Macaca fascicularis: one gene and its partners. The protein of the gene in region 1 binds, or shares a complex with, the protein of each later gene. Links are inferred from orthologs where the notes say so. Each region holds a gene or a part of one and is shown in the gene's direction. Other genes may lie near its edges.

Evidence for each region.
Region 2: MCM7 (region 1) and GINS1 share a complex: the UniProt entries of both Homo sapiens proteins name them as parts of the CMG helicase complex. The link is inferred for Macaca fascicularis from reciprocal best matches to the Homo sapiens genes MCM7 and GINS1.
Region 3: MCM7 (region 1) and PCNA share a complex: the UniProt entries of both Homo sapiens proteins name them as parts of the replisome complex. The link is inferred for Macaca fascicularis from reciprocal best matches to the Homo sapiens genes MCM7 and PCNA.
Region 4: MCM7 (region 1) and DONSON share a complex: the UniProt entries of both Homo sapiens proteins name them as parts of the replisome complex. The link is inferred for Macaca fascicularis from reciprocal best matches to the Homo sapiens genes MCM7 and DONSON.

The regions. Positions count from the first base shown.
Region 1 is NC_088377.1:48,746,570-48,749,476, reverse strand, and holds the end of MCM7 (DNA replication licensing factor MCM7), read left to right. Parts: intron 1-856; coding exon 857-1,025; intron 1,026-1,786; coding exon 1,787-1,896; intron 1,897-2,054; coding exon 2,055-2,256; 3' UTR 2,257-2,407; downstream 2,408-2,907. UniProt on the Homo sapiens protein: Acts as a component of the MCM2-7 complex (MCM complex) which is the replicative helicase essential for 'once per cell cycle' DNA replication initiation and elongation in eukaryotic cells.
Region 2 is NC_088384.1:61,985,506-61,989,005, reverse strand, and holds part of GINS1 (DNA replication complex GINS protein PSF1), read left to right. Parts: intron 1-47; coding exon 48-146; intron 147-1,051; coding exon 1,052-1,142; intron 1,143-3,500. UniProt on the Homo sapiens protein: Required for correct functioning of the GINS complex, a complex that plays an essential role in the initiation of DNA replication, and progression of DNA replication forks.
Region 3 is NC_088384.1:82,165,114-82,167,905, forward strand, and holds the end of PCNA (proliferating cell nuclear antigen), read left to right. Parts: intron 1-1,683; coding exon 1,684-1,807; intron 1,808-1,888; coding exon 1,889-1,968; 3' UTR 1,969-2,292; downstream 2,293-2,792. UniProt on the Homo sapiens protein: Auxiliary protein of DNA polymerase delta and epsilon, is involved in the control of eukaryotic DNA replication by increasing the polymerase's processibility during elongation of the leading strand.
Region 4 is NC_088377.1:13,341,720-13,345,219, forward strand, and holds part of DONSON (protein downstream neighbor of Son), read left to right. Parts: intron 1-373; coding exon 374-572; intron 573-2,286; coding exon 2,287-2,499; intron 2,500-3,386; coding exon 3,387-3,500. UniProt on the Homo sapiens protein: Replisome component that maintains genome stability by protecting stalled or damaged replication forks.

The DNA.
Region 1 (2,907 bases):
CTGTCGCCAGGCTGGAGTGTAGTGGCGTAATCTCAGCTCACTGCAACCTCTCCCTCCCAGGTTCAAGCGATTCCCCTGCCTCAGCCTCCTGAATAGCTGGGATTACAGGTGCACGCCATCACGCCCAGCTAATTTTTTGTGTTTTAGTAGAGAGCGGTTTCACCATGTTGGCCAGGATGGTCTTAATCTCCTGACCTAGTGATCTGCCCGCCTCTGCCTCCCAAAGCGCTGGGATTACAGGTATGAGCCACTGTGCCTGGCCCACAAAAATATTTTTAATAAAATTGTGTTCAGGTTATATGTGTCGGTTGTATATGAAATACAGGTGAATTCCATGTTTAGACTGGAGTCCTATCCCCAAGCTATCCCATTATGTATGTGCAAATACTCCAAAATCTGAAGTCTAAAACACCTGCTCCCAGGCATTCTGGATACTCAGCCTCTATCGCTATTTTTCCACGAGCCTCCAGTGTTCCCTCAGGTTTTTACTCCCTTTTAAATATTCTGTAAACTATTCTCTTTAAATATATCTGTTTTGCTGTGTCATGCGCTCAGAGGAGGGGTCTGGATCATCTATTACTGACAGATGGATTTGTCTTACCCTTACAAAGGCCATTTCCCCCCCCCCCAAAAAAAAAGGAAATAACTTGGGAGGGTCCTCGGGGGCTATATGTTTGGTGAAATCCATCAGTGATATTCAAGCCAAGCAAATACCCACTAATTTGTTTTTTTCCACTTAAAGTTCCTGGAGGGGACCATGTTAAATGGGGAGCCCTGGTGCAGAAAACAACATGGGCTCATATTCACTCCCTTCCCCATCTCCCTCTTCTGCTTCCCCATGAACCTTCCCCCACAGGCGTTACATAGCCATGTGCCGCGAGAAGCAGCCCACAGTGCCAGAGTCTCTGGCTGACTACATCACGGCAGCGTATGTGGAGATGAGGCGAGAGGCTTGGGCTAGTAAGGATGCCACCTACACTTCCGCTCGGACCCTGCTGGCTATCCTGCGCCTTTCCACTGCTCTGGTAAGTGCCCAAACTGCTGGAGGACCATCTGTTTTGACCCTTAAAGTGGCAGCTCCTTACCATGCTCTCATCGCCGAGTCCCTCCCGCTCCAGCCCTGCTGGGGCTAAAGTGCTGACAGTGCAGATAGTGGTCCTCTCCGTGCTACCGCACTGTGGGTACTTGCTGCTCCAGCAGGGCACGCACAGCGTCCGTGGAGGGAAAGACCTTTTCCCCACTTGTTAACCTTCACTGAGCGGGTGGTTGGGATCTGTTTCACTCCATGTCCTAGATCCTGTGCTACAGACCTTCCTTTCTGTCCTCCCGTCTTGGACCTCAGTCCTGGGGGCTCCAAAGTGCTGTTCGTGCAGGTAGTGTGATTAACCGACCTACTGCTGAGCTAGCACTTCCCGAGCCCCCAGGACACGTTCTCTCTGCCAGTTGTCTTGGCTGAGCTCCCCAAGCTCCATCTGTCATGCTGGGGAGCCCAGTGGAGTTCAAAAGGGTCTGGTCTCCCTCACAGGACAGCTGAACTCCGGGACTGGCCAGTGTTGAGAGGCGGAGACTTGGGCAATTGCTGGACGCTGCCCTGGGCATTGCACTTGTCTCGGTCTGACAGTGCCGGCCCAACACTGCGGATGCTGGGGGGGGTGGGGGGCTCCTCTCCTGTTTTGTGAGTAGGCAACCCATGGGCTGCCCAGCCTTAAAGCCAGAACAAGGGTGTTCCCTGACCTTGTTCCACTGCCCTCCTCCCGTTCCCATCTGTCCCCTACCTTCCCCTTAGGCGCGTCTGCGAATGGTGGACGTGGTGGAGAAGGAAGATGTGAATGAAGCCATCAGGCTAATGGAGATGTCAAAGGACTCTCTTCTGGGAGACAAGGGGCAGACAGCTAGGTGAGTGGTTTAGTGAAGGACAAAGCTGAGTCACTTTGGCTTTTGTGTCCATGTGTCTGAGGCTGGCCTCAATTCTAACACTGACCATCATTGTTCTCTGTTGATGTCGAGCATTCCTGTTTGTCCCCTGACCTTACACACCTACTCATTTCCTTCAGGGCTCAGAGACCAGCAGATGTGGTATTTGCCACCATCCGTGAACTGGTCTCAGGGGGCCGAAGCGTCCGGTTCTCTGAGGCAGAGCAGCGCTGCATATCTCGCGGCTTTACACCCGCCCAGTTCCAGGTGGCTCTGGATGAATACGAGGAGCTCAATGTCTGGCAGGTCAATGCTTCCCGGACACGGATCACTTTTGTCTGATTCCAGCGTGCTTGCAAGCCTGGGGTCCTCTTGTTCCCTGCTGGCCCGCCCCTTGGGAAGGGGCAGTGATGCCCTTGAGGGGAAGGAGGAGCCCCTCTTTCTCCTATGCTGCACTTATTCCTTCTGCTAATAAAGTGTTTGTAGATTGCCACCTTCTAGCCTGGGCCTTTCATTAAAACAGGGTATTGTGTGTTTTTTAGATTCCTACTTGTTCCTTTTTTATGCTCCTATTTCATCCACTCAGTAAATTGTCTGAGTAAGCTGCATCTCCCTGCCAGGCCCCAGTATAGATGCTGGGGATGTGGCAAAGACTAAGTGGTCCCTGCTGTTTGGAGATACTTGAGCTGGGGCTCCACTTTTTGAGCCCCCCGACTCCCTTATTTAGTCTTACACTGCCTGTGTGCCAGTCAGGCTCTGGGGATACGGCGCCAGTATGAAATGCAGGGTCTCTTGGTTTTTCCCCTTTTCTAGCAGACAGGTCATTACTTAACCACTTAGTTCCCAACTCCCACTCTAAAGCTCTGGTTAGCGGGTGATGAAAATCGGCACAAGTGATCACATACAGCAATCCTGACCTGTAGACCACTTCCTAGCTGCCTCTCCAAAATATGTAGTAAACGGTCATTGAGAAACTCCCTCCTGGTAATTCAC
Region 2 (3,500 bases), on another chromosome or scaffold:
TTAGCCTGAAATTATGTTTTTTTTTTCTTTTTAAATGCTCCTATCAGGAATGAAGCGAAGTCAGGTGGACGAAGTGATTTGATACCAACTATCAAATTTCGACACTGTTCTCTGTTAAGAAATCGACGCTGCACTGTAGCATACCTGTAAGCTTCTCAGTTTTTGCTTGGGTGGCAGGATTTTCTGTGTGGCTTCCCAGTTGACCATCTCAAATGGGTAACAAGAAATCTTAAGATTTTTCTCTCTTTATAAGCATTCTAAATTTTTCCTCTGTTTTTTCATTTTTTAAATTTTTTATTATGAAAAAACACTTTTAAAAGTAGGGAGAATAATACTATTATGAACCCAAGTGGAGCTATTGTAGGGTTTTAACAATTTTTATTATTTTGCCATATTTTCTTCATTGTGTTTCGCTTGTTGGTGCCACACTATTTAAGAGCATCATGGTCTTTCACTACTGAATATGGTAGTGATCTTACTATTTTTCTTCTTTGTCTTAGAAATAAGGACCTTTGGCCAGGCACAGTGGCTCATGCCTGTAATCCCAGCACTTTGGGAGGCCGAAGCGGGTGGATCACCTGGGGTCAGGAGTTCGAGACCAGCCTGGCCAACATGGTGAAACCTCGTCTCTACTGAAAGTACAAAAATTAGCCGGGCATGGTGGTAGGTGCCTCATCCCAGCTACTTGGGAGGCTGAGGCAGGAGAATCGCTTGAATCCGGGAGCCAGAGGTTGTAGTGAGAGGAGATCGTGCCATTGCACTCCAGCCTGGGTGACAAGAGCAAAACTCTATCTCAAAAAAAAAAAAAAGAGGGGGTGGGGAAGAAAGAAATAAGGACCTCAGGGACCTTTTTCCCAGGACTACTGTGCTGTTGTCACATGTGGAGGAGGGGACAGTGCCTTCAGGCTGACTCTCAGACTGTGCTCATGTTCCTCTTGTTGTTCCTAAGATGTCTTTTTAGAGCTGGTGTGTTTGCATCAGGGGCCAAATGAAGTCCACACATGATCCCTCTTTTATTCTTATGCCACCCAATACCTTCTTGATGTCCTAGGTATGATCGCTTGCTTCGGATCAGAGCACTCAGATGGGAATATGGTAGCATCTTGCCAAATGCATTACGATTTCACATGTCTGCTGAAGAAGTGAGTTAGCATTGTTCAAGTTTATAAATTTTGAAAATGCTGAAGTTCTGGCATTGTTCTATAATAGTGTTTATTGGTATTCCTCTTTCTGTTTTTAATGTCTGTTTTCCCCCAATTTTTGTCTGGTGTTTAGTATACAATGTGAGGGGAACTATGTGGTGTGGAGTAATTCTAAATGATATGTGGAAAATTCTATTATTACTTAACAAAATGGAGTCCTATGATGTTACTTATTAGTGATCCAATCAGTGGGATTAAAAAACTGGCATTATTATTTGGGGATATTCCATAAAATGTTTATGTGTATATATACTTTCCTAATGAAAATTCATATTTGCCTAGTCATTGAGGCAAAGAGCTAGCCCATTATTTAAGAACATAGGATTGGGCCGGGCACGGTGGCTCAAGCCTGTAATCCCAGCACTTTGGGAGGCCGAGACGGGCAGATCACGAGGTCAGGAGATTGAGACCATCCTGGCTAACACGGTGAAACCCTGTCTCTACTAAAAAATACAAAAAACTAGCCGGGGGAGGTGGCGGGCGCCTGTAGTCCCAGCTACTCGGGAGGCTGAGGCAGGAGAATGGCGTAAACCTGGGAGGCGGAGCTTGCAGTGAGCCGAGATCCGGCCACTGCACTCCGGCCTGGGTGACAGAGCGAGACTCTGTCTCAAAAAAAAAAAAAAAAATGGACATAGGATTGGAGTCACGTGGGCTTAGGTTCAAATCCTGGCTCTCTTCTGTCTAATCTTGAGCAAGTCACTTGACCTGTTTCTGTGCCTAAATTTCCTTGTTACAGGATGAAGATCATATTACCTATCTATTACAGGTCGCAATGACTTCTGACACTAACTACCTGTAGTTATTGTCAACTAAGGAAGCTCACACAAGCTTTGATGTCCAGAGTGTGTATTGGGGCTTTATTACATAGACATGATTGATTAAATCACTGGCCCTGTGATTGAGCTCAATCTTCATCCCTCTTCCCCTCCCTGGAGGTCAGACTGACATCAGGAGGCCCAAAGGCCCAATACTTTAATCACATGGTTGGTCTTTCTGGGGTGGCCAGTCCCAACTCTGAGTCATCTTGTTAGCACAGACTATCTAGGGGTTCACCCCAAGTCACCTGAGTAGCACATACTATCAGGGCACATCATGAATAATAAGACACTCCTACTAGTTGAGGAAGTCCAATAATTTAGAAGCTACCTCCCAGGAATGAGGGAGAGAGGCCCACCAAATTCTTTATTCTACAACAGTGTTATTACAAGGCCTATCAGAGGGTTACTTCAGGTGATCCATGTGAAGCACAGCATAGCATGGCACTCAATAAATGTTTTGTTTTGTTTTGTTTTTTTGAGACGGAGTCTCGCTCTGTCACCCAGGCTGGAGTGCAGTGGCCGGATCTCAGCTCACTGCAAGCTCCGCCTCCCGGGTTTACGCCATTCTCCTGCCTCAGCCTCCCGAGTAGCTGGGACTACAGGCGCCCGCCACCTCGCCCGGCTAGTTTTTTTGTATTTTTTAGTAGAGACGGGGTTTCACTGTGTTAGCCAGGATGGTCTCGATCTCCTGACCTTGTGATCCGCCCGTCTCGGCCTCCCAAAGTGCTGGGATTACAGGCTTGAGCCACCGCGCCCGGCCAATAAATGTTAACAGTTATTACATTACAGTTGCATAGGACAGAGCTTAAGAAAGCAAATATTCAGTGTAGCAAACCACCATGGCACATGTATACCTATGTAACAAACTTGCATGTTCAGCACATGTATCCCAGAACTTAAAGTAAAAAAAAAAGCAAATATTCAATGTGTTTGTCATTAGATTCTGCACATTTTTGAGTGATCTATTTGTTGTCATAACTTCGTTTTCATTCTCTTCATTTTCTGCATAAATAAATGAGTAATCTCTACCTCAGATTTACCAGTAACTACAAAATTGGTAACATGTTAGTACCTCACTTTATGCTGTTTGTGTTCAAATCGACTTATATTAATTGAACTTTGGGGTACTTCCTATGTATTATGGTGAGATGAACAGAACACTATGTTGTTTCTCTAACGACAGTAGCTTTAATGATTTTTCTCATACAATATTTTAGATTAATTTTTTAATGTATTTTTTTGAGATGGAGTCTTGCTCTGTTGCCCAGGCTGGAGTGCAGTGGTGTGACCTCTGCTCCCTGCAACTCCGCCTCCTGGCTTCAAGCAGTTCTCCTGCCTCAGCCTGCCAAGTAGCAGTGATTACAGGTACTTGCCACCATGCCCAGCTAATTTTTGTATTTTAGTAGAGACAGGGTTTCACTATGTTGGCCAGGCTGGTGTCGAACTCCTGACCTCATTATCTGCCCCCCTCGGCCTCGCA
Region 3 (2,792 bases), on another chromosome or scaffold:
AAATTCAGCACGTGTACATACCACAGAACAATGGTTTATGGATCAAGCCCACACAGGCTCTTAAGGGTAGGATTGGGAAGCTAGGCATCTAACCTTTAGCTTTCTGGAGATACTTACTCTTACCAAATAAGCATAGAACAGCAACTCTATAGAAGGGTATGGTTAGGAGTAAAAGTCTACCTGTTAGGAGCACTTATGTAATCCTTATATTAGCGTACATGTTGTGGGTCCAATTGGTAGCCCATTTTAAAGGTGGAGAAGCAGGCTGAGCAATCTTAAGTGACAATTTAGCCAAAGTCACAGGCTGTAGGAATCAAAGGTTAAACAGGAAGACTTCTCACTAAGGCTAGAAAGCAGACTCCGTGCAACTTTGAGAGTACTTAGAGAGCCCTTGCTTAACCAAAATAGAAAAAATTAGCCGGGCATGGTGGTGCACACCTGTAACCCCAGCTACTCGGAAGGCTGAGACAGGAGAATGACTTGAACTGAGGAAGTGGAGGTTGCAGTGAGCCCAGATCATGCCACTCCCCTCCAGCCTGGGTGACAGAGCAAGACTCCATCTTAAAAAAAAAAAAAAAAAAAAAAAAAAAAAACTCGGTAACCTGAGCATAAATTAAAACTTGGTAAATCAAGGACGAAGGTCCTAATCTCATAAGCTTGTTAGGATTAAATATGGTAACATTAAAGAGCTTAGCATATGCTGTGTCTGGCATATTACAAGCTTACAATAAATACTATATATTGCTTTCTTGTCCCTTGAATGGGTAGTCAACATTTAGTTTAAATAAAGTTGTAAAATTCAGTTGGAAGTTGTTTTTTTTTAATTAATAAAGGCTAGGAGCTGATTCTTTATCTGTTTCCTGAATCACATTTCCGCTCCTCTGCTAACCTTATTTTTTTCTTTTTCTGTTTTTCTTTGTTTTTGAGACAGGGTCTTGCTCTGTCCATCCAGGCTGGAGTGCAGTGGTGCAGTCATGGCTCACTACAGCCTCAAACTCCAGGGCTTAAGTTGATCCTCCTGCCTTGGTTTCCCTAGTAGCTGGGACTACAGGTGTGTGCCAACACACCTAGCCTGGTTTCCTCTAATTTCATTATTCCCCTTCCATTACAGTCTATTTGTTGAAGAAATTAGATGATTTGTTAAGTTTTCCAGAGTTTGGATTTTGCTGATTGCATTCCTGTGTATACGTAAATTCTTCCACCCTGTGTCCTACAGACTGGTAGCTATAGCCCTGGAGCCTTGATGATATTCAGGATGTTTTGTTTCGGCCGGGGGTGAGAGAGCACGAATACTTTATAGGTGGTGGTGTGTGCCTCTAGTAGAAGGCACAAGGGGTCTGGACGTCTTCGCAGTGTTAGCAGCTATAATAGTCATTGTCTAGATCCATTAAGTCATTAGAGTTTGCAGAGCTGAAATTAATACGTTTTATTCATTTATTAGCTGCTTATCAGAAGAATTTCCATAAAGAAAAGCTTTCCCATATTATATAATTTGGTTATCTAAATTATAGGAAAGACGAGCTAGATACTCAATTCTTTTGCTTTACGCATCAGTCTTCAAAATTTTCATAGCTCCCTCCAAAGTGACTAATAAAAGTGTTTGTGGGTTTTTATAAATGCAAGCTAATAGATTGCAACTTTCTTGATGTTTTTCAATGATGAATCTTCTGTTTTCTCTTGTAGGTTACCATAGAGATGAATGAACCAGTTCAACTAACTTTTGCACTGAGGTACCTGAACTTCTTTACAAAAGCCACTCCACTCTCTTCAACGGTGACACTCAGTATGTCTGCAGATGTACCCCTTGGTAAGATAATAAATTTGAACCTTGTTTTGTAGGTAGTATATGTGATACTCCTCAGTAATTAACTATCTTCCGGTCTTTCAGTTGTAGAGTATAAAATTGCTGATATGGGACATTTGAAGTACTACTTGGCTCCCAAGATCGAGGATGAAGAAGGATCTTAGGCATTCTTAAAATTCAAGAAAATAAAACTAAGCTCTTTGAGAACTGCTTCTGAGATGCCAGCATATACTGAAGTCTTTTCTGTCACCAAATTTGTACTTTTAAGTACATATGTAGATATTGTTTTCTGTAAATAACCTATTTTTTTCTCTATTCTCTGCAATTTGTTTAAAGAATAAAGTCCAAAGTCAGATCTGGTCTAGTTAACCTAGAAGTATTTTTGTCTCTTCGAAATACATGTGATTTTTATAATACAAGAGGGTCTTGACTCTAAATGCAGTTTTAGAATTGTTTTTGAATTTAAATAAAGTTACTTGAATTTCAAACATCACAGGGCAGTGCCTTCATTTTGACCAGGACTGTTGGAAGTATCCTACTGAATTCCCAGCTACAGCTACCCTTTCATGTAAATGGTTTTTCAGTTTAGAGCAGCCTGATGTAGATCAAAAGGATTTCAAATACAGTAGGTTACTAGATATTTTAGGGGGATTCGCTTGTCAAACTTGTTATTCCAATTTGAGGACGAGGAACAAGTGAGAGTAGTACAAATCCTGTGTATTTCATTTTACTTGGCAAAAGTTAATACTCTTCAGAAGCTTCGTGTACCCAAAGTCTTGTTGGCTTTATAAGGATGTTAATGGAGTGTTTCTTTTTAGCCTAGGGAGTCCTACAAGAGTCTTTGATGTTTCAGTAGATCTGTAATGGGACCCAAGGAGTATGGTTCTGCAAAATTTCTCTATTATAAATACACTTTTTGCAACTTCACTCACATAAAGGATGAAGATGTCTTAAATTCCATGGATGTTGGATCCAACCAAGAAAGTGA
Region 4 (3,500 bases), about 35 Mb from region 1:
TATGACTATAATCTTGAATTATCTTCAGATCATATTAAAACTAATTGTCCATTGTAATATTAAATAAGCCCCTAAGTAATAAATGGTGAACTGTTAAACCTTTTTTAATCAAAACGTTCAATTGTGATTCTTTGTGGGAGAATAGGTGTGTTTTGACTAGAGAAGAAATTAGGTTCAGGTGTCAGTTTGTAGCAAATTCAGATTGTTAACATTTTGATTGAAACATATGCCTTATGATTCGGTAAAGAGAGGTAGCAAGAGGATTTCCATTTCTTTGTGGGGAAAAGGAGTCTTGGGTGATTCAGAATCAAGATAACTGCTTTACACGTTAGGTGAGATTTGCTTTTGCAATTTCCTTGATTGTCATCTTCAGTCGTAAAGAGAAACATGAAGTACAGATGGATCACAGACCTGAGTCTGTTGTGTTGGTAAAAGGAATCAACACCTTTACATTGCTCAATTTTTTGATTAACTGTAAGAGTTTAGTTGCTACCTCAGGTCCACAGGCAGGACTTCCTCCAACCCTCTTGTCCCCTGTTGCTTTCCGAGGTGCCACAATGCAAATACTTAAGGTAATAAAAATCTCCATAACCTAGCTGTTAATACAAAGTACTTTGTTTGATAGGATAAATTCTTGATTTAAAAAAACAAAAAACCTCGTAGCATTTTTACTTGGTACATATTTTCCCTTTGCTTTCCTCCCATTAAAAAAAAAAATTTTATAAGACAGTTACATCAAAGAAATTATGTGGAAATATGTAAATTATATGAAATCCTTTTTATTTTCTTTTTGAGACGGAGTCTTGCGCTGCTGCTCAGGCTGGATGGAGTGCAGTGGCATGATCTCAACTCAGTACAACCCCTGCCTCCCGGGTTCAAGTGATTCTTGTGCTGTGCCTCAGCCTCTTGAGTGGCTGGGATTACAAGCACACATTACCAACCCTAGCTATTTTTTTTGTTTTGTTTTTTCTTGTTTGTTTGTTTTAAGAGGGTGTCTCACTCTGTCACCTGCTGGAGTGCAGTGGTGCGATCTCAGCTTACTGCAACCTCCGACTCCTAGGTTCAAGCGATTCTCCTGCCTCAGCCTCCTGAGTAGCTGTGATTACAATTGTGCACCACCACGCCTGGCTAATTTTTTTTTTTTTTTTTTTGCATTTTTAGTAGAGACAGGTTTTCGCCATATTGGTCAGGCTGGTCTTGAACTCCTGACCTCATGATCTTCCCTTGGCCTCCCAAAGTACTGGGATTACAGGCATGAGCTGCTGCACCTGGCCGCCCTGCATTCATTCATTCATTCATTCACTCATTCATTTAGAGACAGTCTTGCTGTCACCCAGGCTGGAGGGCAGTGGCTTGATCTTGGCTCACTGCAAACTCTGCCTACCGGGCTCAAGCGATTCTTCTGCCTCAGCTTCCCAAGTAGCTGGGACTATAGGCTCACACCACCATCCATGCCTGGCTAATTTTTTTTGTTTTTTTTGGTTTTTTTTTGTTTTTGTTTTTTTTGTTTTTTTTTGAGATGGAGTCTCGCTCTGTCGCCCAGGCTGGAGTGCAGTGGCCAGATCTCAGCTCACTGCAAGCTCCGCCTCCCGGGTTCCCGCCATTCTCCTGCCTCAGCCTCCCGAGTAGCTGGGACCACAGGCGCCGCCACCTCGCCCGGCTAATTTTTTGTGTTTTTAGTAGAGACGGGGTTTCGCCGTGTTAGCCAGGATGGTCTCGATCTCCTGACCTTGTGATCCGCCCGTCTCGGCCTCCCAAAGTGCTGGGATTACAGGCTTGAGCCACCGCGCCCGGCCATTTTTTTGTATTTTTAATAGAGACAAGGTTTCACCATGTTGGCCAGGCTGGTCTTGAACTCCTGACCTCAAGTGATCTTCCCACCTTGGCCTCCCAAAGTGCTGGGATTATAATCATAATAAATTATATATGTAAATACAAAATACATACAATTTTATTACTTAGTAATAAAATTGAATGGACTTTAAATTTTTGTTTTTCCAATAGTCTGCATTGACAATGTGTTATTAAATCAGACAAAATACCATATGAAAAAGTGGTATTCTCTGGAATATACATCACCTGAAAATCTCATAATATGGAGAGGATGCTGAAAATTTACTAAGTATTTGTACTCACGTAACATTGTTTTGATGTCTTGGGAAATAGTTTTGTTCCATAATTGTTAAAGAGAGGAAACCCCAAATGGAAATATATTGAACATATTTTTGGCTAGACAAAAGGTTGAGAGATGATCATAATTTTCCTTTTCTTTAAATTTTCATAAAGGCACGAAGTGTAAATGTGAAGACACAAGCTCTTTCTGGATACAGAGACCAGTTTAGTTTGGAGATTACAGGTCCTATCATGCCTCATTCTCTGCATTCACTGACCATGCTGCTCAAATCTTCACAGAGTGGGTCTTTCTCTGCAGTACTATATCCACACGAGCCAACTGCTGTATTTAACATCTGCCTGCCAGTGGACAAAGTACTTGATATGGTAAGAAAGACACCTATGAGCAGACTGTTTTAGTTGTTTAGCTGGAGGGAAGTGAGTCATTTATGCTGAGTCACTTTTGTGTTTCAAGTAATTAAACTGTTATTTAATTACGAATTACTAGAGGAAAGAACAGCTTTCATGAATTCAGTCCAAGTACAATTTTCTTTTTTTTTTTTTTTTTTGAGACGATATCTTGCTGTTGCCCAGGTGGAGTGCAGCTACGCGATCTCGGCTCGCTGCAACCTCAGCCTCCTGGGTTCAAACAATTCTGCCTCAGCCTCCCAAGTAGCTGGGATTACAGGCATGTGCCACCATATCCGGCTATATTTTGTATCTTTATTAGAGACGGGGTTTCACCATATTGGCCAGGCTGGTCTTCAACTCCTGACTTTAGGTGATTCACCTGCCTCGGCCTCCCAAAGTGTTGGGATTACAGGCTTGAGCCATGGCGCCCGGGCTCAGTCCAAATACAGTTTTAACAGTGACTGAAGAACTTCGCATTTCAAAAAGGTACAACTTTTATTTTCATTTCCTCTTGGATCCAAAACTCAGTAGTACCTGATTCCTTTATAGTTTAAGGAAACATGATTCACTGTGGGTATTTATTTAACCATATTTGCCTTTAATTTTGAATATACTTAAGGTTTTTAGAGCTAGAATAATTAAGACCTTTAAAATTATCTCATGCATCTCAGTTGGCTAGACTTATAAAAATAACCATTAATGTTTTGGGATTTTGTCACTACAAAAATTCTTAGGATCAACTTCTGTTGATAGGATGAATCACGTGAATGAGACATTTGTCAGTCTCCATAGTAATTATTTGAAACTCTTTTGTGTTTAAAGATTGATGTGCTTTTTACTGACTTGTATACACATTTCCACAGGAGGTTGTTCATAAGGAGCTTACTAACTGTGGTTTGCACCCTAACACTCTGGAGCAACTTAGTCAAATACCATTACTTGGGAAATCATCTTTACGGAATGTGGTGCTGAGAGAC